Linked DNA regions of Saccharomyces cerevisiae S288C. The protein of the gene in region 4 purifies or fractionates together with the protein of the main gene of each other region. This does not show direct contact. Each region holds a gene or a part of one and is shown on either strand. Other genes may lie near its edges. The genes, in order: VID30, GID8, GID7 and GID12.

The links.
Region 1: the proteins of GID12 (region 4) and VID30 purify together in Saccharomyces cerevisiae (affinity purification with mass spectrometry; 5 studies listed by BioGRID). This does not show direct contact.
Region 2: the proteins of GID12 (region 4) and GID8 purify together in Saccharomyces cerevisiae (affinity purification with mass spectrometry; 3 studies listed by BioGRID). This does not show direct contact.
Region 3: the proteins of GID12 (region 4) and GID7 purify together in Saccharomyces cerevisiae (affinity purification with mass spectrometry; 2 studies listed by BioGRID). This does not show direct contact.

Annotation. Positions count from the first base shown.
Region 1 is NC_001139.9:64,420-73,047, reverse strand, and holds VID30 (glucose-induced degradation complex subunit VID30), read right to left. Parts: upstream 3,378-8,628; coding exon 501-3,377; downstream 1-500. Other genes in the region: OST5 (dolichyl-diphosphooligosaccharide--protein glycotransferase subunit), read left to right, coding at 60-299; SHE10 (She10p), read right to left, coding at 3,717-5,450; SAP4 (Sap4p), read left to right, coding at 6,089-8,545.
Region 2 is NC_001145.3:536,841-544,011, forward strand, and holds GID8 (glucose-induced degradation complex subunit GID8), read right to left. Parts: upstream 3,217-7,171; coding exon 1,849-3,216; downstream 1-1,848. Other genes in the region: REC114 (Rec114p), read left to right, coding at 1-608, 725-769; ERG29 (Erg29p), read left to right, coding at 998-1,711; GAT2 (Gat2p), read left to right, coding at 4,359-6,041; DNA cross-link repair protein PSO2, read right to left, coding at 6,138-7,171. UniProt on the Saccharomyces cerevisiae protein: Component of the GID E3 ligase complex recruiting N termini and catalyzing ubiquitination of proteins targeted for degradation.
Region 3 is NC_001135.5:50,229-58,191, reverse strand, and holds GID7 (glucose-induced degradation complex subunit GID7), read right to left. Parts: upstream 5,548-7,963; coding exon 3,310-5,547; downstream 1-3,309. Other genes in the region: SRO9 (Sro9p), read left to right, coding at 1-818; ATG22 (Atg22p), read left to right, coding at 1,665-3,251; GLK1 (glucokinase), read right to left, coding at 5,852-7,354; YCL042W (uncharacterized protein), read right to left, coding at 7,249-7,608.
Region 4 is NC_001136.10:138,196-146,205, reverse strand, and holds GID12 (Gid12p), read right to left. Parts: upstream 4,110-8,010; coding exon 1,983-4,109; downstream 1-1,982. Other genes in the region: DLD1 (D-lactate dehydrogenase), read left to right, coding at 1-380; AIR2 (TRAMP complex RNA-binding subunit), read left to right, coding at 688-1,722; YDL177C (uncharacterized protein), read left to right, coding at 4,485-4,997; DLD2 (D-lactate dehydrogenase), read right to left, coding at 5,092-6,684; PCL9 (Pcl9p), read right to left, coding at 7,001-7,915. UniProt on the Saccharomyces cerevisiae protein: Regulator of the GID E3 ligase complex. Modulates both assembly of the substrate receptor GID4 into the GID E3 ligase complex and its activity toward its substrates.

The DNA.
Region 1 (8,628 bases), on a different chromosome or scaffold from region 4:
TCATAATTACTAACAAGTATAGCCAATTCGCCTTCTCGGCATTTGTGTAATCACTTAAGAAAGAGTTCCATTCCTCAAAGAGCTTCCAGCCATTTATCCACTTAGACACTCAACCAAAATTTGCAATTTGTGGTTTAATCGTTACATTAGCTGTATTATCATCTGCCCTGTTCGCCGTCGGTTCTAAATCTTCATACATTAAGAAACTCTTCTTCTACACAATTTTAAGTGTAATTGGCAGCTTGTTTGCTGGCTTGACCACTGTTTTTGCTTCGAATTCTTTCGGTGTCTACGTCTAGTGGCTCTTCGTTGGCCTATAAAGGAATTATCGATGAAATTATATACTATACTTAAGAAGTATTTTGGATGAGAATATTAAAAAGAAAGGTGTCAAGTAAATTTCATTATATAAACGGTTTAAGACATATTAATATGCGATTTTTGGGAAGATAATGACTGATATCACATGGCTTTGTTGTTTGAAGGTGCTTGTTTTATGCTCATAAATTCAACACATCTTCGTCGAAGTTAATAGCTTTGTAATATCTTGGATCTGAAGAGTTGGTTGAACCGAACGCGTTATACTCAAGTAATGTAGAAAGCATAGCTCTAGTGTTTGATATTACATTCTCTAATGCGCATTCGCTATCCTTATGTAAAAATGTTAGTATTGTGTTGTTACTAACTTGAAATAATCTCTCTTGTAAGTATTCGTCACTCAAATATCCTGATATCTCCTTTGGTGCCTCCACAAGTGGATTGGAATATGCTAACAATGCAGAGACATTACTCAATTGTCCACTAAACCTATCCCTCAAAGATTGTGGAATTTTAGTATCGTAGATAAATTCATTAGATAATTCTTGACCCTTCAAAATTAAATTTTCAATTTCGTCATCATCTTTGGATGAACTCTTTTTAATCATCACCAGATAATTCGCTAGTTTTAACTCAAATACCAATTCTAGATTATTTTTTAACAGATCTGGAATTTCGTTATCGATATAATTGATGCATTTGCTAATTTGACCTTTGTTTATCAAGTATCTTAATTCTTGCCTTATCTTTACCATACGTTCTTCTTTCATGATCTGTCTTTCATTGTGCCTGATAACATCTTTACTTTCAGAATGTTGCCCATTGACATTAACCGCATCTTTTTGCAAATCTTTCAAAAACCCCTTTGCAACATCCACCAATCCTTCGTGGATCAAATAATCATTTATCATCACGTTTAATGTATTAGGCAATGAACCGTCATCCACGCTTAAGTTGTTAATATTGTTCACGTCTGGTCTAACTAGCTTTCCATCTATAAACCTATTATCTTCTCCCAAAAGAAACTTCAGATTGTTGTCCTTCTCATCGTTAAGCTTCTTTGTATCCTTATTACCAGCGGCACCATCCTCTTGATCAATATCCATCAAATCTTCATTAACGTTTGTTGATTTATTTTCTTCAGGCCCATTTTCAGTTTCATCTTCCTCACTTTCATCAGAGTCGAATTCTTCAATTGAAACGTCCATTTGGCGTCCACGACAAATATGCTCATACGCCAAACTCTTCCATTTATCTTGATATCCAATAATGTCAAATACAAAATCCTCATTTAACCCAAAATTTGTTTTGATAGAATTCCCAGGTCGTAAGGCCACATATGGGACGAATTCTAGATCATTCAAGTCGGTGAATGCGTTACCTAAATGGATACCATTCTTCGTGAAAAAAATTGAGCCATCGATAAAATTTATGCCACAACCAATAACGTCATCCCTACCAAAAGGCTTAGCATATTCCTTAGATTGTTCTGTAGAATTAGTTATCAAACCGTCAAATCCGCAATAGCCAAATACATTAAGATCAAATCCGTATTTCTGACACTTATTTATGGAACCATCCACGTTAAGAGACATGGCTGAAACGCCCCCTTCATAAATATAATCACGCCTTTGAGTACCTTCCATAGTGAAAGAAGTAGAAGGTACTCTATTGGAACTCATGTTATTACTACCACCTAAGCTACTACTAGAACCGGCCACGCTTGAACGAGAAACACTCTTTTTTGTAGTCGCTTCCATTAATTCATTCTCTACTAACTTGTATCCGATAACAATGTTACTATTTTCAGCACTCTCTGTACTCGTTACACTGAGAACTTTAATCTCGTAATAGAATATAGTTAACTTATTGTCTGGCAATGACTTATTTGCCCAAGTGACTGCAAAGTCCACTTTCCCAGAGTTCTCAAAAGAGGTTCTCAGTCTATTTCTGGTAGAGGCAGAAGAAGCGCTTGATCTTTCATAAGTCATGTATGAGTGATAATCAGGATTAGGTTGTAAATGAGTAATACCATCTTGAGATAGCTGCAAGCTGTTATTTGGTTGAGCTTGCCATCTAGAAGGTAAAAAGTACCCAAGTATTTTGTAAATATCAGGGATCATTGAGTTTTTCTTTTTGCTACCACTGTTGGACAAAACATTTGTTGCCTCATTGTCATTTTTGTCGTTACCAGACGATACTCTAGGAGAAGAAAAGGAAGAACTTGGAGACTGATCAGGGGGGTAGTATTGTAGACCACTGTTCTTGTCAGATGTATCCCACAAATTCCTTGATTCTGTTTCTATATTAATAGCTGATCTAGATCTTTGATATATCCATGGGTCCGCAACCCTTTCGGCACGCTGCTGTGCACTGGACACATCAGCATCAGCTCCTCTACTTCCTTCTTCTCCACCTTCCTCGTGATTGTCAGAGCCATCTCCTTCGTTGTTATCGTCCGTGTCAGTATCCACTTCCCCTTCTAAGCTTTCCAGATCGGATTCATCGTCGTCGTCGTCATCGTCATCGTCATCATCGTCATCATCATCATCGTCATCATCATCGTCATTTCTGTCATTTTCCAGGCTGGTATTAGAGTTAAGCGCCATTTCACGTTCGGATAAAACGGGTTCTAATAGTTCCTGAGCATTTTTCCTCATGTCTGAGGAAGCTTTCATAACTCGCACTGAATTTTTATTTGAATCTTTAACACCAAATCTCAAAGTAAAATCATTAACGTCTGGATAGAAATATTTATAGACTTGAATCAGGTAATCGTCGTTGACAGCTTCAAACGAAATTGTGCCTAGAACACCCAAATTCATCAATTTAGACCAGATTTCTTTCCTTGTTAAAGCAGTTAACTTTGTCCTGCCCATTCCAACGCCAGTGGGATTTTCATCAGCGTTGATTAAGTTAGTGTTCTTCAGTTTGTGAAAGAGTTTTCTATGTTGCAAATATAAAATCCATAAATCATAAGCCACAGGCTGTTGCAGCAAGTAGCTCGGGAACAAACAGTTAATGAATTCGCGGTCTACGTCATCCATATATTCAGACATTTCCTCTTAATTATGCTGAAATTCGACGCTTGGCTTTAACGTACTACTAATATTTCTGCTATAACAGTAACAGTTCTGGTCCAATCCTTTGGCTCTTTCTTTTGGTTGATCGATTCATCAGTTCCCTCCCCTGAAAGGCTCGCGCGTCCTGTAATCTAGCAAAAATAGGCAGGATACAAAATACAGTGGAGTGGTAATATTATATTCTTATATGGCTATATATGTTTATATATAAAGGTAAAGACAAACAATAAAGAACATACATATATATATAGATAGATATTGTGTGTGTGTGTGTGTGTGTGTGTGTGTGTGTGTATAGCAAGCGCATGAATTTCATCACAATGTCATGGTAATGGTTGTGGTGATGGTCGAAGTAGAGGTGTAGGATACGTCTTCTTCGTCTTCTTCTTCCTGTTGTCGTAATAGCTCCTGCTGCCTTTGGAACTCTTCTGCTGCAGCTTTTTCACGCTCTTTTCTTTCACGTTCCTTTCTTTCACGTTCCTGAAATTGCAGGTTGGCTTTCGATCTTAGAATATACAAAAACTCACCACTCTCTTGAGTGAACGATAATATCTTCTTTTGCACTTTTTGCCTAAACGCGTTAACACGGGATAAGTCAGCGGAATGGTGAGCCAGCTTGTCTCTAGATTCTATGATCTGTTTCTTGCCCTTCAAAAACTTCTTCCAGTTAACAGAAGACTTTGCTTTCTCTTCATCAAGCGTAGTGTCATCATCTGCACCCATGTGAGCGTTGATAACATCCACATAAGCCATTCTTTTGGACCATTCATTTACAATGATATCACCCCATTCTTCAAATACCTCGACGTTTTCCTCTCTAATTGCATTAACTTTTTTTTCAATTTCATCAGTGATTTCGCTCAAATCTTTCTCCATAGCATTTGTCAGTTCGTCTAACGTCGAGCGCGTCTCGTTGAAGTACTCACGAACTAACTCTCTCGTTATGTACTGAGAAATCTCAGTACTTCCAGATTTATCGAAGAAAATTTTCTTGCCAGTTTCACTATCAATGCCTTCCACACATTCAATATCGTTAATGGCTAGCGAAATCTTGGAGAAGAACTTCTTAGATTTATCATCTAAAGATTGAAACTTGGCTTTAAAATGGTTGGCCTCCTCAACCAATTTACCATTGATGTATTTGGAAACATCCTTTTCAAATAGCTGTATGACGTCTTGTGTTTTCTGCAATATAGTCTCACTCCACATGTCAAAATCCTCTTGCAACAGAGCCTGTTCATTGACATTGACGTCTGTGGAGCCTTCAACGTCTGTGGAAGCCTCATCGTCGTGCGCATGATTAGCAACAGCGCTAGCCTCTTCCTGGTCCAAAGTAATTGTTTCAACCACTGTTTGAGTACTTGTTGTAGTTAGCTCCTCTTCGTCAGACTCCATAGTACTTACGGTTAAAACCATGTCCTCCGAGGAAGGCTCACGTGTGACAGAACCATGAATGCCATGCGTGTCCTTATTCTTGAACTTTCCCATTAATTTTTCCTCTGTATTACCAACAATAAAGTCGTATTTGGATTTGATGCATCTTGAAGTGATAGTAAAGTAATAATGGCCTATATTTTTATACTTTAAAATTCTTTCCTTCAAATGAGAGCGAAACTCCGCAGTAAAGAATTTGTCTAAGTTAGGTTTCACAAAAGCATTGTATTTTGCGAAGAAAAATCGTCTAGTCTTGACCATTGGGGAGCGGACCAATTGGTAATACTTTCCACAGTTCCATTTCTTACATTGTGAATGGATGACCTTGAATGCAGGCTGTATAGCGACCTTGTTCACTTTTACTGTAGCGTCATCGATGACAGGTTTGACAGCCGTGTCATATTTACGCGCCACTATATCGAAACCGGGACTAACTTTATTTTTGTATAATTCACAATTTCTTGAAAAGTAGGTGTTCCAGACTCTTGGATTGGTATAATGGCAAAGCGTTTGCGTGCGTTCACACGATATGCTCCCACTATTGAATTCGCAACAGTACTGAAGCAACGATACCAACACCGTCAGAGTTGTGATTAACTTTATCAGCTTTCCCATTTCGTTACGCTGCGTTCTTGTTTAGATGTAACAGCTTTTGTGCATCCAAGATATAAAGTACTTCAGAAATGGTGGTTGAAACAGAATGCCCATTACGCTTACTTTAAGGCTGTTCTTCAAGTTGATCCTTTCTTTGATACATGATTATCATCATGTACGTAGAAATCCGCCTTATTTCCGAAACCTGACTATCTTAGGGTTATACATAGAAACGTATAGGACATTTCTTACTTTTGAAAATTGTTCCTTGGGCAGTTCAGGGTTTAGTTAGGGTATTGATGCCAGCCCTAAATCCCCTAAATAAGAACTCTCGAGGATAATAACAGACAATAAACCAAGAGTTCATCCACGTATGATGGCTGTTTTTTATTCTGTCGGTTTTTGGTTGCCGTAGTAAATATAATTTGGTAAGCGTGTTGTGCTGTGTTGTGTTGTGTTGTGTTGTGTTGTGTTCTACTAATTGGATTGTGCGAATAAGTGAAACGGTTGCTTCACCCAGCGGGAAAAGGACAACCTGGTATTTGGTGTGAGATAAAGTTATAGACAATCTGGTCTTTTGTTATTAAGTTCTCTTTTCTTCTATACCGTCCAGTTTACTGCTCTCTTGCTTTTCGATAAAGCTAAAATAAAATAAAAATATGTCACTATGGCCCTTTGGAGAGACGCTGAGTCATTCCGGAATTGATTCGATACTTGAAGAGTACTATCTAATTTTTCGTAGTTTGGAGGGAAATGAGACCTCTTCAACTGACGACAAGAAGAATGAGCCTTCTATGGAGTCAGAGTCCGAATTTGGTACCGAGTCTCGGGATAGGAGTGACCTTAACCAGTCATTTATTGATAGGATCTTGTTGGAAACAGCTTTGCTGGATGAACTGAATGGAGCAGCCAACGACAGACTCGTCGACTTCATTTGCTTGGGATATTTCTATGACGACCGTTCCCAGCAGGTCCGCCACATGGACTACCTAGTGGACATGTTGATGGCTTACCTGAAGGACATAGACCGCACTGGTTATAGAACCCCATTTCTTTTAGAGAATTCATTCCATCAAACAGGTGAATATGAAGATCAGGACGATGAAGACCCAATGCTGTATGTCAACATTATTTCCAGTATTTTTTGTTCGAAAAGTGCGCCCATAGTGGAGGCACTCGTGCAAAATACCCCATTTTTGTCCTCTCTGTTCGAGGTTTTCCAGTTTGAAAATATTGAGGCAGAAAATTGTCCTATCTTGGCTGTTTTCCTTAAGATTAACGAAACTCTTCTGTTTGAACAGACATCTAGCTATTTGGAATTTTTCAAATCGCAACCGAACATTGTGGACAAGTTCTTATATCATATTGAAGTCTCACCCTTGGTTGAATTTCTCATTAAAATCATGCTGACTGATCAAGTTGAATCACCTACGAACATTATTGACTTCTTGTATCACCAGGATCTGATACCTAAGTGTTTGAATCTCTTGGAAAATAGCAAATACTCACCTGGTATTCAAAACAGTAGCGGAGAGCTTCTAAAAGCACTGATCAGCATTTCCACCAATTTTAAACTGGATACTTTGTGGATCGGACCTAACCGATTGACAAGACAGCTTGCCTCTCCGCAATATGTCGACCAACTTATTAATATAATCTTATTTCAAAGAGGCCATGCAATGGGAGTTGCCGTATCTATTATAATTGAGTTGATCAGGAAGAATAATTCCGACTATGACGAAGTAGATTTGTTAAGTACCACCATAGTAGACAATCCGCCTTCTCAAAGAGATCCAGTCTATTTGGGCCATTTGTTATATGAGCTCACTATGCATATGGAAGATTTTTATGCATTACTAATTAAACTTGAAAATGATGATGACGATGATCATGACACTGCTTCAAAAGCTCTTCCATCTGTTAAGCATCACCTACTAGAAAACCAATTGCATGAATCATTCAGGCCTTTGGGCTTTGAAAGAGTCAAGATTACAGAATTGATATCGGAAATGTTACACTGTTCAAATATGGGATTGATGAATTCAAAAAGAGGCGAAAAAATAGCACGTACCAGAGATAAATGCAGGGACACTCTTGATCAAAACTCACTAGAGAAAGCCATGAAAAATTTAAATATAAATGATAATACTATTACTTCCAATACATTAGAAGATAAATGTAATAATAATGATAGTAATGACAGTAATGACAACCAAAAACAAAAAAAAAATATTAAAAAAAAGTTTCATGATAATGAATTGTATTCTACTTTTGATACATCTGATGACAATATTGATGATGATGATGATATGAGTTTTGAAATTCCTTACGTCAGTGAAACGCAAAATTTGAAAATACGTAAAAACCCTACCATTGGAGATTTATTCAAAATTAAACTTCATGACCTTGGGTTTTTTCCAAAGTTTCTACAATTATTCTTAAGATATCCTTGGAATAACTTTTGGCACAACATTGTATTTGATATTATTCAGCAGATATTCAATGGTCGAATGGATTTTTCTTATAACTCATTTTTGGTCTATTCTTTGTTTGATTTCAAAAAGTCTACAAGATTTATCCCAAAACCTTTGTACGGCAGCAACCAAAAGTTACCTGTTAAAGACTTCCATATTATCTCTGATTTCATTTTACAAGGCCACAAGGATTCGTTTGAATTTTACGAAAAAGAGAAAACAAATTTAGGTTATATGGGTCAATTAGTATTAATTGCCGAAGAAATTGCGAAGTATTCCAAAATTTATAAGACCGATCTAATTGCTCCAGATATATATGCCTTCTTACAAGATGAAGTTTGGATGTCATATTCTAGTGACATCTTGAACGAAACAAGGACAATGTGTTCAATAATTCTTGGTGGAGGCCAGTTCTGTGCCGAAAGCGATGAAAATACTAACCAGGACTTTTTGGAAAAAGCTGATATGAGTAAACCAGCTCATCCATCCACAATGGATGAGAATGAAATTGTTCACGAGGAGGATGTTAAGTTGCATGATAAAGTTGCCGAGCTCATAGATGAATTGGGTCAATTAACCGAATTAGATATTCATGATAAAATTAAAGATGTTATTGTTGATCATCATTCCGACTTAAATTGATTAGGTTAAGTCGTCAAACCAATTTTGACTTTTTTTTTCCTACATTTTTAATATTTTGTTTCTCGTTTTGCCTTATTTAATTT
Region 2 (7,171 bases), on a different chromosome or scaffold from region 4:
AAATAGCTCAACAAATATGGCCAAACACGGATTTAAATGTAGTACAATCTTCACAAGACCTCAACACTCCAATGGCTACGCAAACTGTTTTGGGTCGTCCTGAGTCGCTAATTGTACAGCCATTGGAGGTTTCTCAATCTCCACCAAACACTACCAACTGCCTTCCTAATGCAGAAAACAAAAAGAAAAAAGTCGACACCACTTCTGATTTTACTTCAAGAAAGGAGATTGCTCTGTGTAAAACTGGTTTATTAGAAACTATTCATATACCAAAGGAAAGGGAAAGTCAGATGCAAAGCGTCACTGGTTTAGATGCAACACCAACGATTATATGGAGCCCCGGGAAAGACAACACGGCGAAGAAAAATACCAGTAATAAGAAAAATATTGATGATAAACTAACAAACCCCCAAAAATCTGGAAATACACATACCCCTGATAGAAATAAAGAAGTGCTACCTAACGGCACACTTAATGAAACGAGGAAAGAAGCATCGCCAAGCGAAGGATTAACGATAAGAGTTAAAAACGTTAATCGGAATGCGTCAAGAAAAATATCTAAGCGGCTAATCAAGGAAAAGTTGAAAGACGAAGAATTCATGAAATGGGTATGTATGCATTTGCAAGAAACTGAGCTGTTTCCCCCTCTTATCCACTCATTTTCTCTGACTTGACAAAGAAATACTAACTAACAACTTTTGCCACTACAAATATGAATGAAAAGGTTAATAAGGTTGAAACGGTTCTCAATAAAATGTTCGAAAAGTGAACCCTTTTTTTGCAATTCCTTTTTACACTAGCCACGAAGTAAAATGGAAAAGTAAACCCGAGTTTCGGCAATATCGCTAAGCAAGAAGAGCAAGCTCGTTTAAGTAAGCCTTTATGAAAAAAAAACAAAATATAAAGCATTATAAAAATTGAATCACATCGCAAATCTGCAATATACTTGGAAGTGTTTATAGCAAAGTGTGGTATAGAAAAAGAACCAAAGGCCGGTATGTCGTTAAAGGATAGGTATCTAAATCTCGAATTAAAATTAATAAATAAACTACAGGAGTTGCCATATGTTCATCAATTTATCCATGATCGAATAAGTGGTAGGATAACTCTCTTTTTGATAGTGGTTGGTACGCTTGCATTTTTTAACGAACTGTATATAACGATCGAAATGAGTCTTCTACAAAAGAACACATCAGAAGAACTAGAGCGTGGAAGAATCGATGAAAGTCTGAAGCTTCATCGGATGTTGGTGAGTGATGAATATCACGGTAAAGAATACAAAGACGAGAAAAGCGGTATTGTTATTGAAGAGTTCGAAGATCGCGATAAGTTTTTTGCAAAACCTGTGTTTGTATCAGAATTGGATGTCGAATGTAATGTTATTGTAGATGGGAAAGAACTTCTGTCCACCCCATTAAAATTTCATGTTGAATTTTCTCCAGAGGATTATGAAAATGAAAAAAGACCTGAGTTTGGTACTACCTTGCGTGTATTGAGGCTGAGACTTTACCACTACTTTAAAGATTGCGAAATATATCGCGATATAATTAAGAATGAGGGCGGTGAAGGGGCAAGAAAGTTTACGATTTCCAACGGTGTCAAAATTTACAATCATAAAGATGAACTACTGCCATTGAATATCGATGATGTTCAATTATGTTTCCTGAAGATTGATACGGGAAACACGATAAAATGCGAATTCATACTATGAAAGCTTCCAAAAAAAAAAAAGAAAAATCAATTGCTAAATGCATACATGCAGGTAGGCACACACACACACACACACACACACTCACTCACACATGCACACGCACACACACATATATAAATATATACGTACTATGTATGTCAGTTTTCGACCCTAGGAACCCCTATTTGGTTGTGATGAAGCTGATTTTCGCACCAACACCACAGTTTCATTATCTGCGTCAATCTTGGTTCATAGGGAAATTCGGAAGAGTAGTAATTATTGAATTCTAAACCTTTTTCCTTTCCATTTGAAGAGGAAAGCAATTCAGAAGTTTGATTCCAGTAATTTTTATTTTCTAAGTTATGAAAAGTTGTCGCCGCTGAACCTGTGCCAACATTTCCATCCCTTTGATTTAGCCAAACTGAATTAGCAGCAGCCGTGACCTCGTTGCTTGACATCTTTTCGTTGATAGGTTGGTCAGACGAAATGTGAGTTATTTTTGTACCATTTGAACCATTGACGAGATTGTTGTTATACACCGTGAAGTTCTGCGTAATTATTTTCTTGTCGGAATTTAACAAATCTGGAAATTTGGAATTATTATTGCTGATCTCAAATTGAATCCTTGGATGAATAAACTTCAGCAGCTTCTCATTAACCAGATCTGCTATCTTAGATCTTAGAGATATCGAGTACAGATTTTGTAACGATTTGGGCAGCTTAATGCTGCCGCTGTCCGCCGAATCTGACAAGGGGAAAAGCAGCAGAGTCATTGCTAATTCTAACTCTTGCATCTTTTTGACACTTGACGAAGCCTTTATTGCAAGTTTATTTTGAGAATACTGAATTAGATTGAGTATAAAGTCGTTGGAATCCTTGGTGATGTTCTCCTGTTGATGGTGACTTCTTATCATCTCGATCAAATTCAGTAACAGCAGTTTGAAGTGTAAATCTCCATCTATGTCAAACTGCTGCTGCTGCTGCTGCTGCTGCCTGTCAGTTCTACCCGTATAACTTCCCGTAGCATTGAAAGTCTCTTCCAGCACCTCCAGCCCGAAGATAGAGTTTATCTCCTCCATCGCCTCATTGATACGCCCCAGCTTAATAAGATGTTTGATATGGAAACGCTCCTTGATCTTGTACAAATCATTGAAAACCGCAATGTCTTTGTTGTTCCGTATAAATCCCAGCTCCTTGGCCATCCTAATGCTCGAGTCTTCATATGCCATAGAAACAAAGTAGTTCAACAGAAGCCGTGGCAGTGTGGGCTCTATGGGTGTGGTCTGTATGGTAGCAAATCCCTCGTCCTGCGAGCCGCCACTGCTGTTGGGCTGAATTTTCAGCGGATAATGTATTGTCTTATTTGCATATAGCTCGCCCATGGCAGAATACTTGGCCACCTGCTCCTTCCATTCTTCCTTCGTGAAGCACTTCTTTCCATACGTAAAGTCTTTCCCACCATTCTTGCCTTGGCCGCTGCAAGATCCGCTCTTCGTGGTCTCGTTACTAAGAGTAGATATAGTCATTTCTATTTGTTACCACACACAAATATATCTTCATCCGGCTGATATTTGTCTCTACTGCCCCTTTGCTTGCAATTTAATGACCAAATTACACATGTTAGCTTCAAGAAAAATGATGTACCATCAAAATGTCTCCTGCAACGAACCGGGGCACCGCGCCGGCAGAGTCAGGAAAGCGAGATCGACACTGATAGTGATAAACAGCAACACAATGGAGCGATTACCATTCACTCGGAACGGATCCGGACAACAGTCAAATAAACTCCGGGATCCCAAAAAGGGCCGTACACACAAACCCAAGCCGAGCGAAAAACACAAAAAAAATAAAACAGGGAAAAAAGGAGCGCAAGAGAAAACGCACAGGAGTAGGAGCAGCAGAAAGGGGAACTAATATGGTTTTTCCGTTTGCTTATTTTTATTTTTTTGTTGAGTCATGGGCACGTCACCGCACAACAGCCGCCGCAGGCCTGTACCGCTACGCGTCTATCACTGCGAAACATCGCTACTTCTGTCGCCGCGTCGACGCTGGTCCAGACCACAAAAGGATGCACGATCAGAAGCACTGTACCCTGCAGAGTTGGAGATAGTGTAACCGTGACTTCATTTTTCAAGCGTGGTTTCACATTCTTTTTGCACCGCCCTTATCTCAGATATAGTTTCGTTCGGTTGCTTTGCTTTCCCCAACTGAAGGTGCTGGATGGCGGTTTTTCCGGCTGCTGCGATTTTCCCTGCGCGGGGCCCGGCGCGGAATTGTGCAAAAGCTAAAACTCAACGGTTATTTTGAAATATAAGGTTATAAGCAAATTTCCTAAATTTGCTTAATTGTTAATGCAGTTGTTATTGCATTAAGACATTCGGCTATCGTTTCCTTTCTTCGTGTCGGCAATCTTGTATAAAAGTTATTTTTTGAGTTTCAGTTTCTTGTATATCTTGGTATATATTGAAGGAGGATTTTTTCTTTCCTGGTCCTTTTACTTCCTTGCGTCCCCTCATATTTCTTCTATTTCCGTTCACGGCGTTTTTTTATTTTCTCCATCTACTTTTAGTGATTTCCTTTGCTCTAATATTGTTTTCGTTCATAGTGAATTGTTTGTTTTCACTTTAATAAAGGGCTTTTACGACTTGTCTCAAAAAATTTCATCGAGATGCAAGCCCCCAATATCTACCCCTTCTCTCAAACACAGCCACAAGCACTGCCCGGGTTCACATACGGTCCTCCACAACTTGTTTTTGACCATTCTGCTCCGAGAGTAGATCCTTTGCATTCTACTGTAACTATAAATTCTCCATTACCCTTGCAGCATTATAATGGACCGAATGCCCATATAAACAGCGCAAACAACAACTACGCATACTACTATCATCATCCCAACAATAATGATAACAACAACCATAGTAACAACACTATAAAAAATAACAACATTAATTCTGTTCTTCCCGCCGTTAATATTCAAATATCCAACAACTCACATTATAGAAATACACACCAAATTCCTTCTGCTCCTCAGCGGCTGGTCAGCATCATACCGGATCCCCACATGCCGCCCAATATTTCTCACTTTCAGCTAAATAATATTCACCCTCAAATGCATGCTCCTGTTGCTACTGATATTCATTTCCAACAAGTACCAGTTTACAATAAAACCAATAATGGCATTGGTACTGATAACATTAATAACGATAAACCCGTAAACTCGAATCAGAATGAAGTGCTGGACAATATTGATGAACGTTCCTGTCATGAAATTAACAGGGTAGTTTCATTTTCTAAACATTTTGAAAACAACGAACTTACCACTACAGCAAATGATCTAAACATTCAATCTACTATGGATGAATTAGCTAAACTGAAATCTTTATCAAATTCTACCCATTTCAGGCAGAGTATTGCTACTCAGAATTTCCATTCTTTACAAAATCATATCACAACCATCGAAAACCGTCTGGCTTCTTTACTTACTGACAGACAACAAGAGCAGCAACAGTTGAAGCAGCAAGAGTCTGAAAAGGAGAGCTCTTCACCGTTTTCCAATAAGATAAAGTTACCTTCCTTACAGGAATTAACTGACTCCATCTCCACCCAACATCTTCCAACATTCTATGACAATAAAAGGCATGCTTCGGATACCGATTTAAAGAGTAGCACCTTACATGGTCCATTATATCACCGTCACGCTTTTCTTTCAACCTCTTCTTCCTCACCCTCCCCCACGGCCGGTTCCGCGCCTCTTCAAAAGTTACAGGTTCCAAGACAAGACGATCCAAACGATAAGAAAATGAATATTTCATCATCTCCCTTCAATTCAATAACCTACATTCCAAACACTACGTTATCTCCAATGGTGCAAACGCAGTTAAAGAACTTAACCACTTCTAACCTCAACACGAAAAAGAAGAATAACAGAGGCAGACCAAGAGCTATTCAGAGACAACCCACGCTGACCACTTCCAGCCATTTCATCAATAATTCCAATCCTGGTGCTGCTGCAGTTTCAACGACAACTCCCGCCGCTAATAGCGATGAAAAGAATCCTAATGCAAAAAAAATCATCGAGTTTTGTTTCCATTGCGGGGAGACCGAGACTCCAGAATGGAGAAAGGGACCATATGGCACAAGAACTTTGTGTAATGCCTGTGGGTTATTTTATAGGAAAGTCACCAAGAAATTTGGCTCAAAAAGCAGTAATTTGTTGTTAAGATATAGAAGATCTATTGATTTAGCCAACGATCGTAGAATTCCTGATTTTATCACTATTCCAAACAGGTTTATTCATGATATGGATAATGATCAAACGTTGGACTCTGAGTATAATACGATATTGCAATAATATAAAATCATACATTCATATAATATCCATTACGTACGTACATCTTACATAACACATTTTTACCCCCTTTTCTTTTTTTTGTTTTCCTTTTTTGTTTTATTTAGCCGCCCGCGTTTTCCTAACGTTTTCCCAACATTGAAACCAATTCGTCATATACCTCACTTTCCATAAATTGTTTAGATTCACAGTGGGAATGACTTCAGAACACTTCAATTTACAACCAAATTTCACTAAATCGTTAAAACTACTGTGTTCAGAATATGGTACGTTAAAAACTTGAAATTTGTTGTACTTTTTGTATTGCCTCAATATACTCGAGATTTCAAACCCATTCTCATCATCATTATCTCGATCATTCTTCATTAGTTCTAAGCAATATTCTGTATTGCCACTCATTTCATTCTCATCATCATCGTTTTTCTTTTGATATTTTAAACCAAAATTGTGACTCCACCCGGTAGGTATAAACCCGACAACATCTTCAATGTCTTTCACATAGTCTGTTTCCAATTCTTTTAAACTTTTCAAGTAAGCTTCTATGGTTTCTTGACTTTTCAACACTCTTATAGGTACCAAATGTACGGATGATTCATGTAAATTGCTGGTGAGTAAGCTTTCGTCCCACATGTCATTTTGATTTTCGTTGTTTTGTAAAACTGTTAGCATCATTGAAAATTTAACGGAATTCGGCATAACAAATAATTTTGTTTTCAAAAATTCACATATCTTGATGGCTAGCTTCTCTTTTCCAATAGTATATGTTCCCACAAGAAATAGGACCCTGTAACGATGAGTTGTCAATGTTTTCTTTCTCTGAAAGTGAAAAAGGTTCCTTTGTGAATCTCCAAATGTTTTGTTTTTACCATGTTTTATAAGCCGTAATGTAAAATCAGCCACAGTCTCGCACACAGAATGTTGTGAAGGAAAGTTGTATCCCATAGTCATATATGTTGTATCTAAATAAACTTGGTCAATAGTTTCATTCGCTGTCTCGGCCAACCACTTCTGAATTGTCTCAATCATTTTGGCGTTGCTTCGAAAATCCCCCGTGTGAAGAATTTGTCTTATAGGCTTATCATACGAATTTGCCAGAAACTCCTGGAAAAGCATTATTATTGCACCGGGACAAT
Region 3 (7,963 bases), on a different chromosome or scaffold from region 4:
ATGGTCAATCTACACAACAGCAACAACCACCTCACCACCGTAATCATCACCACAGTCATCACCATAACAGCAATGGTCCTCAAAGGAGAAAGTTCCACAACAGTAATAACGCCGGTATGCCTCAGAACCAAGGCTTCCCACCACAGTTTAAACCTTACCAAGGACGCAACGCTCGTAATAACAACAACAACCGCTCTAAATACCACAACCACTTCCATCACAACCAACAACATCCTCAACAACCTATGGTCAAATTACAGCAACAGTTTTATCCAGTCCAACCAGTGTTAATGGCCATCAACAACATTGCTAGACAAATTGAATACTATTTCAGCGAAGAAAACTTGACCGTCGACAATTACTTAAGGTCCAAACTCTCCAAGGATGGTTTTGCTCCATTGTCTTTAATCTCTAAGTTTTACAGAGTTGTTAACATGTCCTTCGGAGGTGACACTAACCTGATTTTAGCCGCATTGAGAGAAATTGTCGCTAACGAAGCCGCTACCGTCAATGTTGCAGAAGGTACTTTGGCCGCCAAGGAAGGTGATAACGTTACCGGTGAAGCCAAAGAACCATCTCCATTGGATAAGTACTTCGTTCGTTCCAAGAGCTGGTCAAACTGGTTACCAGAAACTTTTGAAACTGAAATTAATATTGAAAAAGAACTGGTCGGCGATGCATTGGACCAATTCATGATATCCCTACCACCTGTTCCTCAACAAGAAGAGGAATCATCCACTGAACTCGCTTCTCAAGAACAAGAAACCAAAGAAGACTCTGCGCCGGTTGCTGCCGGTGAATCCGAGTCTTCCTTATAAAGGCCTCTCACACTTGCAAAATAAAAAATGGATTCGTTCATTGCATTTTACACAAAAAACCATAAAAAATTGAAAAACCTAATAATTAAAAAAATTAAAAGTTAATCATCCTCCAGCAAAGCTGTTTTTTTTTTGTTTTTTTTTTTTTTTTTGTTTTTTTATCCATTTTTTTCATTTGTTCCATCAGTTTAATACGAAAGAGAAAATAAAAATAAAAACTTTGAACAATTTTCATGTTTTGAATTCATTGTACATTATCATCATAAGCAATAAGATACAAATATTTATGTTTTTTTTTTTTTGTTTTTTTTTTTTTTTAAGATATAAAAATACTAGCCTCTTCTCACTTCGTTTTCTCTCTGTCTAAGTGGCTACCATCATGAGATATGATATTCTTTCTTCTCCCTGCGCAATTCTTAAACCACCTGCTTTTTTTATTCAATTTTTTGCTAATTTAATAATTGGGAAGAAGATATGAAAAATGCCTATTTTACTCTAAGCAATTCATATGTAAAAAATTTTATGTATAGTTTTTTTTTTCTCTTTTGTGCTGTCAAATTCCTTTTTATTGTCATCTAAGACCATGCTTTAGCTTCTGTCATGTATAATGCAACGTGTCTTAGATTATTAATTGTTGTATTGTGCGGCATTGATAGCGCCGCTCAACAATTTTAGGAAATTGCTAAAATTAATTCCTTAAAACGGTATTTTCCTAAACGAAAATACCTCAGCTATTGAAAGATGCGTAGTGTAAACAAAAGGAAAGATTTCAAACTGTACCTATATTACCACGGTTTTTGCCCTTATAAGCAATAGTTTGCTCATAACATATTCTCTACATTAGATATGAGCTATGGAACTATAAATGATATGAATGAATCGGTAACGAACTATCGAATAAAAAAAGCCCAAAACAATATCAAGGGATGGTACGCTTACTCATTTTCTAGCGAACCATTTGTCGTTTCTGCGGTTTCAACGTATATTCCCTTACTACTGCAGCAATTTGCGAGTATAAATGGTGTAAAAGTTCACGATCACTCCATACCCTGCCTGTCAGAAACGGGTAGTGATTCAGATAAGTGTGTTCTTGGTTTGTTCAACAATCGGATCTTCGTAGATACTTCAAGTTTTGCATTATATGTCTTTTCCCTTAGCGTTTTATTCCAAACTATAATAGTCATTTCCGTTTCAGGGATAGTAGATCTCTGGGGGAGCGTTAAATTCAAAGGCAGAATTCTGGTTTGGTTTGGTATTGTGGGCGCATTGTCGACTGTTGCGATTTCAAAATTGAATGATACCCAGATTTATTCTCTGGCTGGGCTTTATATAGTGGCCAATGGTTGTTTTGGCGTTATCAATGTTGTTGGGAATTCTCTTCTGCCCATTTTTGTCAAGGATTCTTTGAAATGTCAAAGTCAAGGAGCTTATGAACCTGATAAGGTAGACTCGTTAACTACTGTTATTAGCGGTAGAGGTGCATCTTTAGGTTATTCAAGTGCCCTCATTGTTCAGATTGTATCTATGTTCTTAGTCGCATCTAAAAAGGGCAGTAAGCAGGATGTTCAAGTGGCTGTTCTTTTCGTTGGGATTTGGTGGTTTGTGTGGCAACTGCCCATGATCTGGTTGATTGACGATGTGACAATACCGATAAGAGTTGACGATTCTACATTAGCATCCGCCCGCAGTCCGTATCCCGGTGAGCAAGACGCCTTGGGTCAACTAAACTGGAAGAATTACCTTTCATATGGTTGGGTTTCGCTTTTCGAATCGTTTAAACATGCCAGACTATTGAAAGATGTGATGATTTTTCTTATTGCGTGGTTTATTATTAGTGATTCCATTACAACTATAAATTCTACAGCGGTTTTGTTCTCCAAGGCAGAACTGCACATGAGTACCCTCAATTTAATCATGATAAGTGTTTTGACCGTTGTAAATGCAATGCTGGGTGCCTTTATGATTCCACAATTTCTTGCCACAAAGTTTCGGTGGACTTCTAGTCAAACTTTGATGTACATTATCATTTGGGCAAGTTTCATACCATTTTATGGTATTCTTGGATTTTTCTTCAATGCGTTCGGTTTAAAGCATAAGTTTGAAATGTTCTTATTGGCCATTTGGTATGGATTATCACTAGGTGGCCTGTCCGCGGTTTCAAGATCAGTTTTCAGTTTGATTGTACCTCCAGGAAAAGAATCCACGTTTTTTAGTATGTTCAGTATCACAGATAAGGGGTCGTCCATCCTGGGACCCTTCCTTGTTGGACTGCTTACCGATAAAACGCATAATATTCGCTATTCGTTTTATTTCTTCTTTTTGCTTTTGATGCTATCATTGCCTGTGCTAAACTGTTTGGATGTCAAGAGAGGTAGAAGAGAGGCTGAAGAACTCAGTCAAGTTTTACCTGAAAGTGAAAGAAGGTTGGATTAGTTCTTTTTTTTTTTTTGTTACATAAAACTTTGCTTACGTATATATATAAGGTGGAGTATTAATTTCTTGAAATTTTCCAGATTTTTATCTTACCGTCATCACCGCCAGAAGCAAACATTTCTTTATCTGCAGGGTTTGATGCAACTACGTTACAATTTTTCCCCATGGGTTTTGTGGAATTACTCATTACCGTGGAATGACCGGATAAAACAGATACTAGGTTACCTCTAATTCTATCCCAAATGTAAATTTTACCATCTTCTGATCCGCTCATGACAAGCTTATTACCGTAGGCGAAGCAAGATCTGATAATAAAGTGCTGTTGCTTCTGTCCAAAGTACTTTTGTATGAGAATATTTTCTTTATAGTCCCACATTTGTAATTCGTTATCTTGAAGGCTAACTAATACCAAATGTTGAGACTCGGATATTTGTTGCCTATGGAAGCCTTGATGCGTGGTATTTAGCGGTAATGAGATACAAGTCATGTTTTTGCCCACGTCCAATCTTGCGATCCTTGGAATCAGAAAGTTTTTGGGATCCACTGTTTGCTTAGATAGCTCCTCTTTGGAGGGGAACCCACTGAAATCGTAGACATCTATAACGCCCTGGTGGGTCATTAAAAGCACGTATTTATCGTCATAGCTGATTTTCACGTCGTGCACACGTGGAAAGGTTTCGTCGTCCTCCACATATTGCCAGTTACCATTGCTACTTGTTGGTTTGTAAAGGACTTTTGCAGGATCGATTGATTTTCTCCCAGAGATGTTTTCATCGTGGCCCAACGCGATACAAGTCCTGCCTTTTAAGCTAAAAAGTGACTCTTTCGTGGTGAGTGAGTGTACAATAGCTTCTCTGTCGGGCGATCCAACCACCATCCAGCCCGCACGTTCCGCAGTGTGGAAGGCATCGCAGCACCATACTCTTGATTGATTAGAATTCGCGTTTGCCGGCCTCGAGGAAGATGATGCTGATGATTCGGTATCATCTGGGTACGTGGTGGTGTCCAGTTTAAACGAGTCCATGGGCGAGAGCCTGGTAGAAGGGTATAGTAGGAACGAGTCTGTGGCAGACGCATCGGGCAGGGAGGTGGCATTCATGTCGTAAATGGTAACATCTTCGCTGAAAGGGCAAGCAACCAGATACCGGCTATCAGGAGAAAACATGAGGTACAATACGGATTGTGACAAGCTCACGCAAGTCTTATAAATTTTGAAGTCTTGTTCCACATCATAAACAGTAATGAAGTAGCCTCTTGAAGACTCGGAAGTCGCAGAAGCCAAATACTTGCCATTGGGCGAAAATGTCAAAAACCAAATTTCGTCTGTGGTGTCTTGGATAGTCTTCCATTCTTGAAAGGTCACAGTCAGATCGTGTGAGAAGTTATCCTGCAAAAGGTTGATCCGGTGGGGTGGAGAGGAGAAAGAGGCGTCATCATCCGGATCGATGATATTAAAAATGTCTTGTGATTGTTGATACTTGATGGCCTGTTTCAAGAGATGCAAGAGACGACCCTTGGGAACGAGTTCGTTCGGATCGATATATTTGGAGATGGCGTCAATCAGATGGTCTCGCTCGAGGTTCAACTGCGCGGTTAGTTTTGGGTTGGTCAGGTACGTCGACAGTTCTCTCAAGGTCGTTTCCGGATTGAAGATGTTTTCTTCATTTAGGAACTGATCGTTAGACACCAGCAGGGAATCCCATATCTCGATGAAGTTTTTGAGGATTTTGCGCAAATACAGGACGGGCAGTGCAGTGTGAGGGCCCTTGTGAGAGGCGGAATTTGTGACTGGATGGAAGAATTCGAGGAATATTTGTCTATTAACTAGAATCATGATCTCTACGTAATTTCTGAGCGTGGCGATCTCTGCGTCCGAACAAGTAGATGAATTTACAGAGCTCATCAGCTGTTGCAGGTATTGCAGTTGCAGGAGCATGTGGTCGAAAAGTGAAGTCGTGGCGGGCGTCGGCGTGGGAATGAGCAGCCTTTGAAGCCATTCGGACCTTAGCGGAGAGCTATGGGCAAGGGGCAGCGAGCAAACAATCTGCCAATTAATAAGATGGAATTGGCCGGTCTTGATGAGTTTGAAGAAAGTCTGGATGTGGTTAGACTCATTTTGATATCCGCCGCTCTCTAGCAGTAACTGGTTAGCGGCGGAGTCGTAGCCCAGCTCCTTTAGAGTATGTATCAGTAATTTAGTGAGCTGTTTCTTGTCAAAACAACCAACGGAAGAGGGCGAGGCTGTTTCCTCCGTGTCATTGTTCAACACGTATGCGATCTTATTAGTGTGTGACATTTTATTAGTTGAAGTAGTACGCCCCCTTGGAAGTGTTTTTCATATTTGACTTCCAAAAATGATAAAGGAAGACCTAGCAAGGCATTTATTGTTCTTCATTTTCCCTTAAAAACCAAAGGCCCGTTTCCGATGATATTGTTCATTAATGTGAGAAAATCATACATACATACATACGTTCTTATACGGTATTGTATAAGAATGTATGTATATACACTGAAAATATACATATATATATATATATATAAAGGAGAGAAGATGGTAAGTACGGTGGGATACGTACACAAACCAAAAAAATGTAAAAAGATCATGCTACAAGCGCACACAAGGCGGCACCCACTCCGGAACCATCCTTGGCAATCTTCAAGTGCACCTTCCTCTCACCCTCGGCACCCAAGGGTGACAAGGCTAAGGCGTGTCTCAGCATAGATCTGAAACCGGGGTAGTATTCCACAACGGAACCATCACAACCGATCTCGACTTCACCATGATATCTCTTGTTCAAAGCATTTGTCTTGATCAATATCGCGGCAAGCGGCACGGCGGCTAAATACGCAGATCTCCTAGAAATCGCGCGCACCAATTTTTGAATTTGAACACGCTCTGTTGGAGTGGTGGGCAGTCTGAGACTCTGTAATAATGACAACTCTGTTTCACGTAGACCTGTCGAGTCGTCAATTTCAATATGCGACAGCACTTCGGATGACAACTGGAAAGGTGTAGTCAAGTGGCGAGGAAGTTGTTCCTTGGACCTGTACTGTTGCAAAAGCAAGCCTTGCGAGTGCAAGTCCACTAAAATGTTACGCAACACCTCACCCAAGAACATCCCTGAGACACGTTTTTCAAACAAGTGAAATCCCGGGTTCGTTGACAGTTTCTGGTCAATTACGACGTCATACTTAGTAGTAGGCAAGTGCTTGAGCTCATTATCGAAGGACCCCCATTCGACATTGATGATCATGTGTGTCTTACCCTCCTTTATCAACTTGTCACGCAACTCCTGTGGCAACTTCGTGATCTTGTTGATCTCCTCCATATAGCACCCATTGGTACCGGTACCGAAAATACATCCGATGACCGGCTCCGAGATTTCTCCGGACGTCATTGAGTCCGTGTTATCGGACGTGTAGCAATGCGATAGGTACGTTCCGACGGTGTCGTTGGTTAATGCAACAACCTTGATCATAGGCATACCCTGAGCGCTTAATTGCTCCTGGTACAATTGCACGACATCCTTTCCGACGGTGTCCGCGATGCGGAAACCCTTGGTCCAACGGATCAATGTCCCGGAGTTTAGAGAGGTCTGGTCTACAGGGTATGAGAAAGTGAACCCCAGTTTCATGGGCTTGGCGTCTTTACCCTTGGCCAACTCGTCCGGGTGATACTTCTTCATAAAGGCCAGTGTACGACGTGCTAGAAACCCAAACAGGTCGTCAGATGTGACGTTCTCATCGTCTAGCAAATCATCGGGAATCTTGGACTTCATTTGCTCCATGGAGAAAGTATGATCTCCATGCAAGTTAACAGAACATATACGGAAATTGGTACCACCCAGGTCGGCGGCTAGTAAAACACCGCGCTCCGTCCCGTTGGGTGACCCGGTGACGAACGCCGGAATCATAGGAAGACCTTTGTCCGAGGCCAATGTGTGGCCTTCCTTTGGTGGAGCTAGACCTTTTTCCATTTGTTCGATGAAGTAAGCAGTTAATTCGTCCAGCTTCTCGGGGGTAACCTCGAAATCGTCGCAGATCTGGTCCACGGCCTGGATGACCGCTCTCTCAGTGGCTTTGTGTAAGTCGTCGAATGACATCTTGTGTATGATAGAGTTGTATTAGTGGTGGTGTTGTGGTTTACGGAAGCTGAGTTGGGCACTGATGGGGGGGTTGGGGGTTCTGTTGATAGCGGATATTTATATGGGCGCGTTTTCATTAGTGCCCACCGTTTGAGCGTGGTGTGACACCACGCCCAAGATAGGGGGCCCCCTGAAAGGGGTTGACCGTCCGTCGGCACACCACTTATAATGCGGGGTGCAAGCGCCGCGTCTAAAATTTTTTTTTTTTCCATTTTTGTCGTTATTGTTATTTCCCGTTTTTTGTTTTTTTTGATTTTTTCGGAGCGACAAACCTTTCGAAACACGTGTCCTGAAAATTATCCTGGGCTGCACGTGATAATATGTTACCCTGTCGGGCGGCGCCTCTTTTTCCCTTTTCTCTCACTAGTCTCTTTTTCCAATTTGCCACCGTGTAGCATTTTGTTGTGCTGTTACAACCACAACAAAACGAAAAACCCGTATGGACATACATATATATATATATATATATATATATTTTGTTACGCGTGCATTTTCTTGTTGCAAGCAGCATGTCTAATTGGTAATTTTAAAGCTGCCAAGCTCTACATAAAGAAAAACATACATCTA
Region 4 (8,010 bases):
CTGTTCCTGTGTCGCAGTTCGACAAGGTTATTCACGAAACTAAAAAGGACATGCAAGCTAGTAAGCTGATCAACGCCATTGTTGGTCATGCAGGTGATGGTAACTTCCATGCATTCATCGTCTACAGAACCCCTGAAGAACACGAAACCTGTAGCCAACTTGTTGACAGAATGGTCAAGAGAGCACTGAACGCAGAAGGCACTTGCACGGGTGAACACGGTGTTGGTATTGGTAAAAGAGAGTACTTGCTCGAAGAATTAGGTGAAGCACCCGTCGATTTGATGAGAAAGATTAAGCTAGCTATTGACCCAAAGAGAATCATGAACCCGGACAAAATCTTTAAAACTGATCCAAACGAGCCCGCTAATGATTACAGGTGAGTATCTGATTTTCCTTTTTCACCCTTCACGTAAACCTGAAATATATTTCATGTAATATATATAGTTCATCCTTAAAGAAAACATACCATTTCAAAATGCCCTTTCCCAGTAGCTAATACATGCTTAAAAATGTGATATATATTATTACCATCAAATGTATTCATGATCCGGGTAGTGCCTTTTTTTCCTTCAAACACTAATGGGATGGGAAGAAACATTTCGAAAAAAGTTATGACTATTGGCAGCATCAGAGAGAATTAAACCTTACCTGTACAACGATAGCAGCTTACATCACTTCCTCGCAGTCATGGAAAAAAATACGGCACCATTTGTCGTCGATACGGCACCCACAACTCCTCCAGATAAACTTGTAGCACCTTCTATAGAGGAAGTAAATAGTAATCCCAACGAATTAAGAGCTCTTAGAGGGCAGGGTAGATATTTTGGCGTAAGCGATGATGACAAGGATGCCATTAAAGAGGCAGCACCTAAATGTAATAATTGCTCTCAAAGAGGTCATTTGAAGAAGGATTGTCCCCATATAATATGTTCGTACTGTGGGGCGACGGATGATCATTATTCTCGACATTGTCCGAAGGCTATCCAGTGTTCAAAGTGTGATGAGGTGGGTCATTACAGGTCACAATGTCCACATAAATGGAAAAAAGTTCAGTGCACTCTTTGTAAGAGTAAGAAACACTCAAAAGAAAGATGTCCTAGTATATGGAGAGCATATATTTTAGTAGATGATAATGAAAAGGCTAAGCCCAAGGTCCTTCCCTTTCATACTATATACTGTTATAACTGCGGTGGAAAGGGGCACTTTGGTGATGATTGCAAGGAAAAACGATCATCTAGAGTACCTAACGAGGATGGAAGTGCGTTCACTGGTTCTAATTTGTCAGTTGAGCTAAAACAGGAATATTACCGTCACATGAACAGAAATTCGGACGAAAATGAAGACTATCAATTTAGTGAGTCCATATACGATGAGGATCCACTACCGAGACCTTCCCATAAAAGACATTCCCAAAACGATCACTCTCATAGTGGCAGAAATAAACGTAGAGCATCGAACTTCCATCCTCCTCCTTATCAAAAGTCTAATGTCATTCAACCAACTATAAGGGGCGAGACGCTGTCACTCAATAATAATATTAGTAAAAATTCACGGTATCAAAATACAAAAGTAAACGTCTCGTCGATATCGGAGAATATGTATGGCTCCAGATATAACCCTTCTACTTATGTTGATAATAACAGCATTTCCAACTCTTCCAATTACAGAAACTACAATTCTTATCAACCATATAGGAGTGGTACCTTGGGGAAAAGAAGATAACTTTAAATAGGAAGCCCTTTAACAAGCTGTTCTTGGTTACATTATATTTTCTTAATGAAAGATTAAAGACAATACCTAATTCGACCATTAATCAAAATAGCATGTAAATTTCTTACATCTTCTTGTTGTGAAAAAAAAAGGCCTTCGTGCAATCACAGGTAATAATAATAACATATACATACATATACGTAAATACGTCTTATAACTCCTGCTACCTCATACGCTATTTTCTATTATGGCTAACATCTATGCAACTCAATTTAGTCTCTTTTTACCTTTTTCACAATGAATGTATAAAGGTCCTTTTCATCGTAATCTAACCTTCTTTTTTGTGCATTTAAACCGTCATAATCGATTAGAGCAAGTTTGTCGACAAACCGATCTTTTCTATTTAGCTTTAGTGAATCGCACAGTTTTATTCTTCCTAACCTGCAGTTTTTGAAAAATTCGCCTTTAAGAACAGTTATCTCTCCTGCCATTGATGTTACCACCAAGTGAAACGTAAGGGCGCAAACATTGTCTGTGCCTACGTCTATATCATTAATTATAACAATTGTATCATTAATCAATCCGAAATCATGGGGTATTATCCGAATAGTATCCTTGGAATTCCTTAACAAATTTTTGGTATTTTTTATTTCAAATCTATTTATCAACAAAACTCCATGTGTGTCCAATATAAAGCATAAAGAATCATCCAGCATAAATAATTTCTTGAATGAACATAAATTTCCCAATGCCTGCTTGAATTGAGCTGTCTCATCATCTATCACTTGGCCATCCACCTTCATTTGACTTTCTGCCCACTCTTCTTCATTAGTTCCATTTTCAGAGCCATTTTTGTTCGATAATGAATCGATTTTAATTATTGGTTCATCATAGTACCGAGGTCGGAATGCACTCAACGTGACGAAATGATCGATGCACACAATGTCCATCTTTTTGTAATTATCTGTTAGAAAAGAAGTCATTGTTTCATCACTTTCATCTGTAGTGTTATCATCTTCATTCACCCCATCATTTCCATTTCTATGAGAAATCTTTTCAACAATTTCAAAATCTACCATAAATGTATTCCTTCTTAATCCTCGGATAAAAGAATCTAATTCCCACTTCGTTGAACAGGGTACATCCATTCTTTCTCTAAAAGCGTCTCTAGTTAAGGCTTGAAAAGATTCTCTCCTTCTTCGACTCAGCGGTCTCGGTTCGCTGCTAGCAGTACTGAATGAAGAATTTCGGCGACTACTTCCCAGCATATCTTGAGTGTGGAATAACTCATATATGTCATCTTTAGCGTGACCTTGACGCTGTTTCCAGACGATTCCTGAATCCAGCATTCCTGTTCCAGAATATTTTACAATATCATCCCAAATGGTTGAATTTATAATATCCGTATCGAATGTAAACTTGTTACTAATCCAGCTGAACAAAGAACCAAATCCATTTTGTTGCGCTACGTTGTCCCACGAAAGTATCTCACCGCATGTATCTCCCTGTATACTGTTCTTTAGGCTGATAAAGGTGCTTAAAAATGTAACATAAGTCAATGGTAAAATTATTTTCCTTATAAATAGTGGTGATCGTGGCGATACTGTCATGAAACAAAACCGGTCTAATGGATTTATATGGAATGTGGAAATACCTCGTTCTATATGTAAATACATCGAAGGCCTATATATGGGCAGGCCTTGATACATATTGCAAAACGAAGATACCACGGGTGACGATCTTAAATGGGATGGTTCTATAGGCAAAAGGAAGTAGCAGATATGCTTAGAGCATGACCTTCCAGTGTACCGCGTACTACCTTCAAATAATTTTTCTTCTTCTGAAGAATGTGTTGTATTATTATCGTGATGTACTTTGAAAAAGCAATCTGGAAACATGGGGTTGTACATGTTCTTATACTGAATGTAATCAGTGGGAAGGTTCATTACAAAGACATATATTCGACCGGAGCACATACAACAATATAATAAACCTTGACTATATTCAAGACCAGCGATCATATAGTCACTAAAAAAATTGGATTCGAAATCTTCCGGAGTACATCTAAGGATATAAGAGGGCGCTAATCGCAGGCCATTTTTTATCTTGTATTGATAGTTGCTTATGATTTCAATGAATCCGTTGGATTTAGCCAGCACCATGTAATCACATGAGTCCAAAATATGCGTTGCGTCTGGAGATATTGACGTGTCTCTACCATTAGGCCTTAAATAACAAAACGCTTGTATATTTGCATTCACATCTACTTTTGTACAACCTCTTTCTGATGGGACCAGTGCTAATCGATCGTTTTTAAATTCAAATAACCTATAACCAGACGGTTTACCCTTAGTATTGCAGGGAGTAGAAACAGCAAATTGAATCCTGCCAGTAGCCATCGATAACAAAATGTTCAGATTATGTGGAAAGACGCTTTCTGCGTGTATTTAACAACTCAAAGTAAAACCTATCTTAACCTGGTTTTGTTCTATTAGATGCCATTCAACTATGGGGAAGGTATATTTGGATGTTTGTTAGCAATTTTCAGGAAGGCAAGTACTTAATACCGATCAGCTTACTATTGTTTTTGACCTTAGAGCTCTTTTCAACAAAGCTTCGCATTGTGAAAAGCAGACCCAAAACGGCAACTGAGAAAATACGGCACTGTGGAAATAAGTCATGCATCAATCATCAGCTGTAAAAAACCTTTAGAAAAGACATTATACAGATTCTTAGATAGGTATTGATGTTTGGTATTACTATTTTTTGGAGAAATGAGTAAGAATGTTGGTAAGCTAGTGAAAATATGGAATGAATCAGAAGTTTTAGTTGATAGAAAATCGAAATTTCAAGCAAGATGTTGCCCATTACAAAATCAAAAGGATATACCCTCCATACTCCAAGAACTAACGCAAAACAACAAAAGCGTCTCCAAGGCATCCCACATGCACATGTATGCCTGGAGAACGGCCGAGGTATCAAATAATTTGCACTTACAACAAGAGCAGAAAAAGAAGGGCAATAAAGCAAATAAGAGTAATAATAGTCATGTTAACAAGTCAAGGAACATAACGGTGCAGCCAAAGAACATTGAGCAAGGATGTGCTGACTGTGGCGAAGCTGGTGCTGGACAGCGTTTATTGACCTTACTTGAAAGAGCAAACATATTCAACGTCTTGGTAATAGTGACCAGATGGTATGGTGGCACGCCTTTGGGCTCATCAAGATTCAGACACATTTCAACATGTGCAGTGGAAACCTTAAAGAAGGGTGGATTTCTTCCTTAAATATCACCCTTACCATATAATATACACAATTGTAGAATATAATATTGATAAATATATACATATGTAGATAACTATAAAACTTGGCATTTTATTTTCAAATGTATTTGTAAGGGTTTAAAATTCCATTAGGATCATAATGAACCTTCAAATCCTTCATCATCTTGACCTCTTCCGGGCTCTTAGAATAGCCAATGTAATTTTTCTTTTGGAAACCTAGCCCATGTTCGGCACTAACGGAACCATGTTTTGAGGAAACAAACTCGTAGACAAATGGTTCCAAAGTCTTTTCAATGTTCTTGTTGTACTCTCTAACTGCAACATTTAAGTGTAGATTACCATCACCCACGTGACCGTATCCAATGGCGCCCACCACTGGTTTGGGCGAATCACCCACTAATTCAGCTTCAGAAAGTCTTGCATTAGTGGCTTCAACCAAAGAATATAGGTCCTTTAGTGGTAAAGAAACATCGTATTTGTAAACACCACCATTAGCTTGACTTGCCTCTGGAATCATTTCTCTCCACTTCCACAAGTTTTGGAGTTCGGTTTCATCTTGTGCCACTACACCATCCGTTACTATGCCCTCTTCCATGACGTTTTCTAAAAATGTTTCAAGTTTGGAATCATCGTGATCTTTGTTTGACCCTGACGTTTCGATAAGAATATAAAATGGATGCTCATCCTCCAAAGGGAAGGCAGCATCCTTCAATTGGCTCTTGGCCAATACTTGAGATTTAGCATCCATAAATTCAAAAGCGGATAAAATCTCAGATAATTCTTGCCTGGCTCTGACGAAGACTTTTTGAACGTCTTCAAAACTTTCAACAGACAAGTAAGATACATTAAACGCTTTTGGCTTAGGAACAGTCAAGATTGAAACACCAGTGATGATACCGATAGTACCTTCTGAGCCAATGAACAGCTGTTTCAGATCATAACCGGTGTTGTCTTTTCTCATGGAATGCATGCTATTAACAATTTGACCATTGGGCATTACCACCTCTAAGCCTAAAACGCTTCCATGTAGTGAGCCATAACGCAATAACCTTAGTCCTCCAGCGTTGGTTGCAACCACGCCACCAACATGGCAGGAACCTTTAGCTCCCAGATCCAACGGAAACATATAATTTTGTTCCATTACGTAATTGTTAGCATTTTCCAAGATTACACCAGCATCACACTTCAAGATACCTGATACAGGGTCAAAATCTCTTATTTTGTTTAAATTTGCTAAAGATAGAATTAATTCATCAAAAATGGGCACAGAACCACCTACCAACCCCGTGTTACCGCCTTGTGGGACAACGGCAATTTTTTCATCATTACAATAATTTAAGATTAAAGAAACTTTTTCCACTGACTTAGGTCTCAATACTAACTTGGACTGTCCTTTGTACTTTCTCATCCAATCTTCATTATAAAATGAAAGATCCTCTGATTCGCTGGCTCTTAATATTTCTTGTTCCGATAAAATAGATTTAAAATAATTTAGATCATCGGACGTTAATTTTTTGAATCTAGGGTCTCGATGCACGTCTGGATAGTTTTCGCTAGTCAGTCTGGTTTGTATCTTGGTCGAATAATAGTTAACTCTTCTATAGTATCCTAAAAGAGCTGATGATTTCATATATCTGCCAGCAAATTTGAAATTGCTGCCAGTACTTCTCACCAAAATGTTTCTTAGCATCTTGTTATATGCCACTTGTAGTGCTGGATTAATGTCTGTAAAATAAAGAGAAGAAGTTGTCAATGCATTTATTACCACTTTTTCAGAGTCAGATAGATTTTGAATTATATAACCTGTCAAAATGAAAAAAACTCGGCCGATATTCCTCGAGAAACAAGACGAATGCCAAGAGTATTCATTATTAGATATTTGTTTATGTAGTATGGTGTTTTTTTAGTAGCCTAGAAACGATGGTTATTCATATTGTACAAAGTTAAGACAACTAAAGAACGGAAAAGAATATTTATAGAGCTTGTAAAAGGCGAGTAACTTAGAATTATTGCTTGAAAAACGATGACCAGCCCCTCCTTGTAAAATTTAACCGTTGGTGAATTGTGGGCTTATGCGACATTACTGGTGAACTTCCCATTGTTACATCAATATGGTTTACTGAGTGTATGTTTTCCTCTGCCCTGAAATTATTACAGATATCGTTATTATTCCTTAACGGCACATGATTTTTTTTGTTGAAGTTGTCAGATTCCACCAACGGTAGGGACGGTTGGTATTTTGCCAGTAGAGAAGACCTTGAGTCTGTTGTCGAAACTGTTGCCATGGATGTCAGTGAAGGAACCGATATAGCAGAAGAAGTTCTAGAATGCGAAACCGGTCTTCTATGATTTATATATTCTTTCAGTTGGCCGGGACTTGGTGCATTGAACAACAGCATTTCTTGTCTCCTTTGTAAAAATAGTTGTTCCTTGATAGGCCCGAGGAAGTAAGAAAGAGAATCAATCAAATCCGGTGTAGTTATCCTCACATCCCAATTTAAATATTCTAATAGTTCTCGTTCGATGGTATTCACCTCACGTATTCTGAGTAAACCTTCTGTGTACGTGGTCCAGTGTTTGTTCCAGGGAGAAGAATCGTTCAGAGTTTTGGCAGCTAATATCAAGCATCCGAGAAATATCCGATGTCTTGTGGTGTTAATACCGTACACATTTTTTGGTATTACGCTTTTCAGTTTGTTTAAATAAACTGATGTGGCCATTAAAGTTGGTGTTTGAACATTTGACTGAATTACCACGTTTTTAATGAAGATAGATAAGTCTGGTGGGCGACATCCTTGGATTGGATTATTATTTTCCCTGATTTTAATTATGGAAGCAGTAGAAGTGGCTAAGAACTGAATCATTTCTTGCGAAACAGGTTTTTTGTTGAATTGCAAAAGAGCATCGTAGTCAGAAATCATCTCTTTGTGCGTATTTCTTCAGAATTAATAATGCTGTTACCGAAACAAGTTTTCTTGTCCTTTCTTTGCGTATATCCACTTAAATATATGTTATT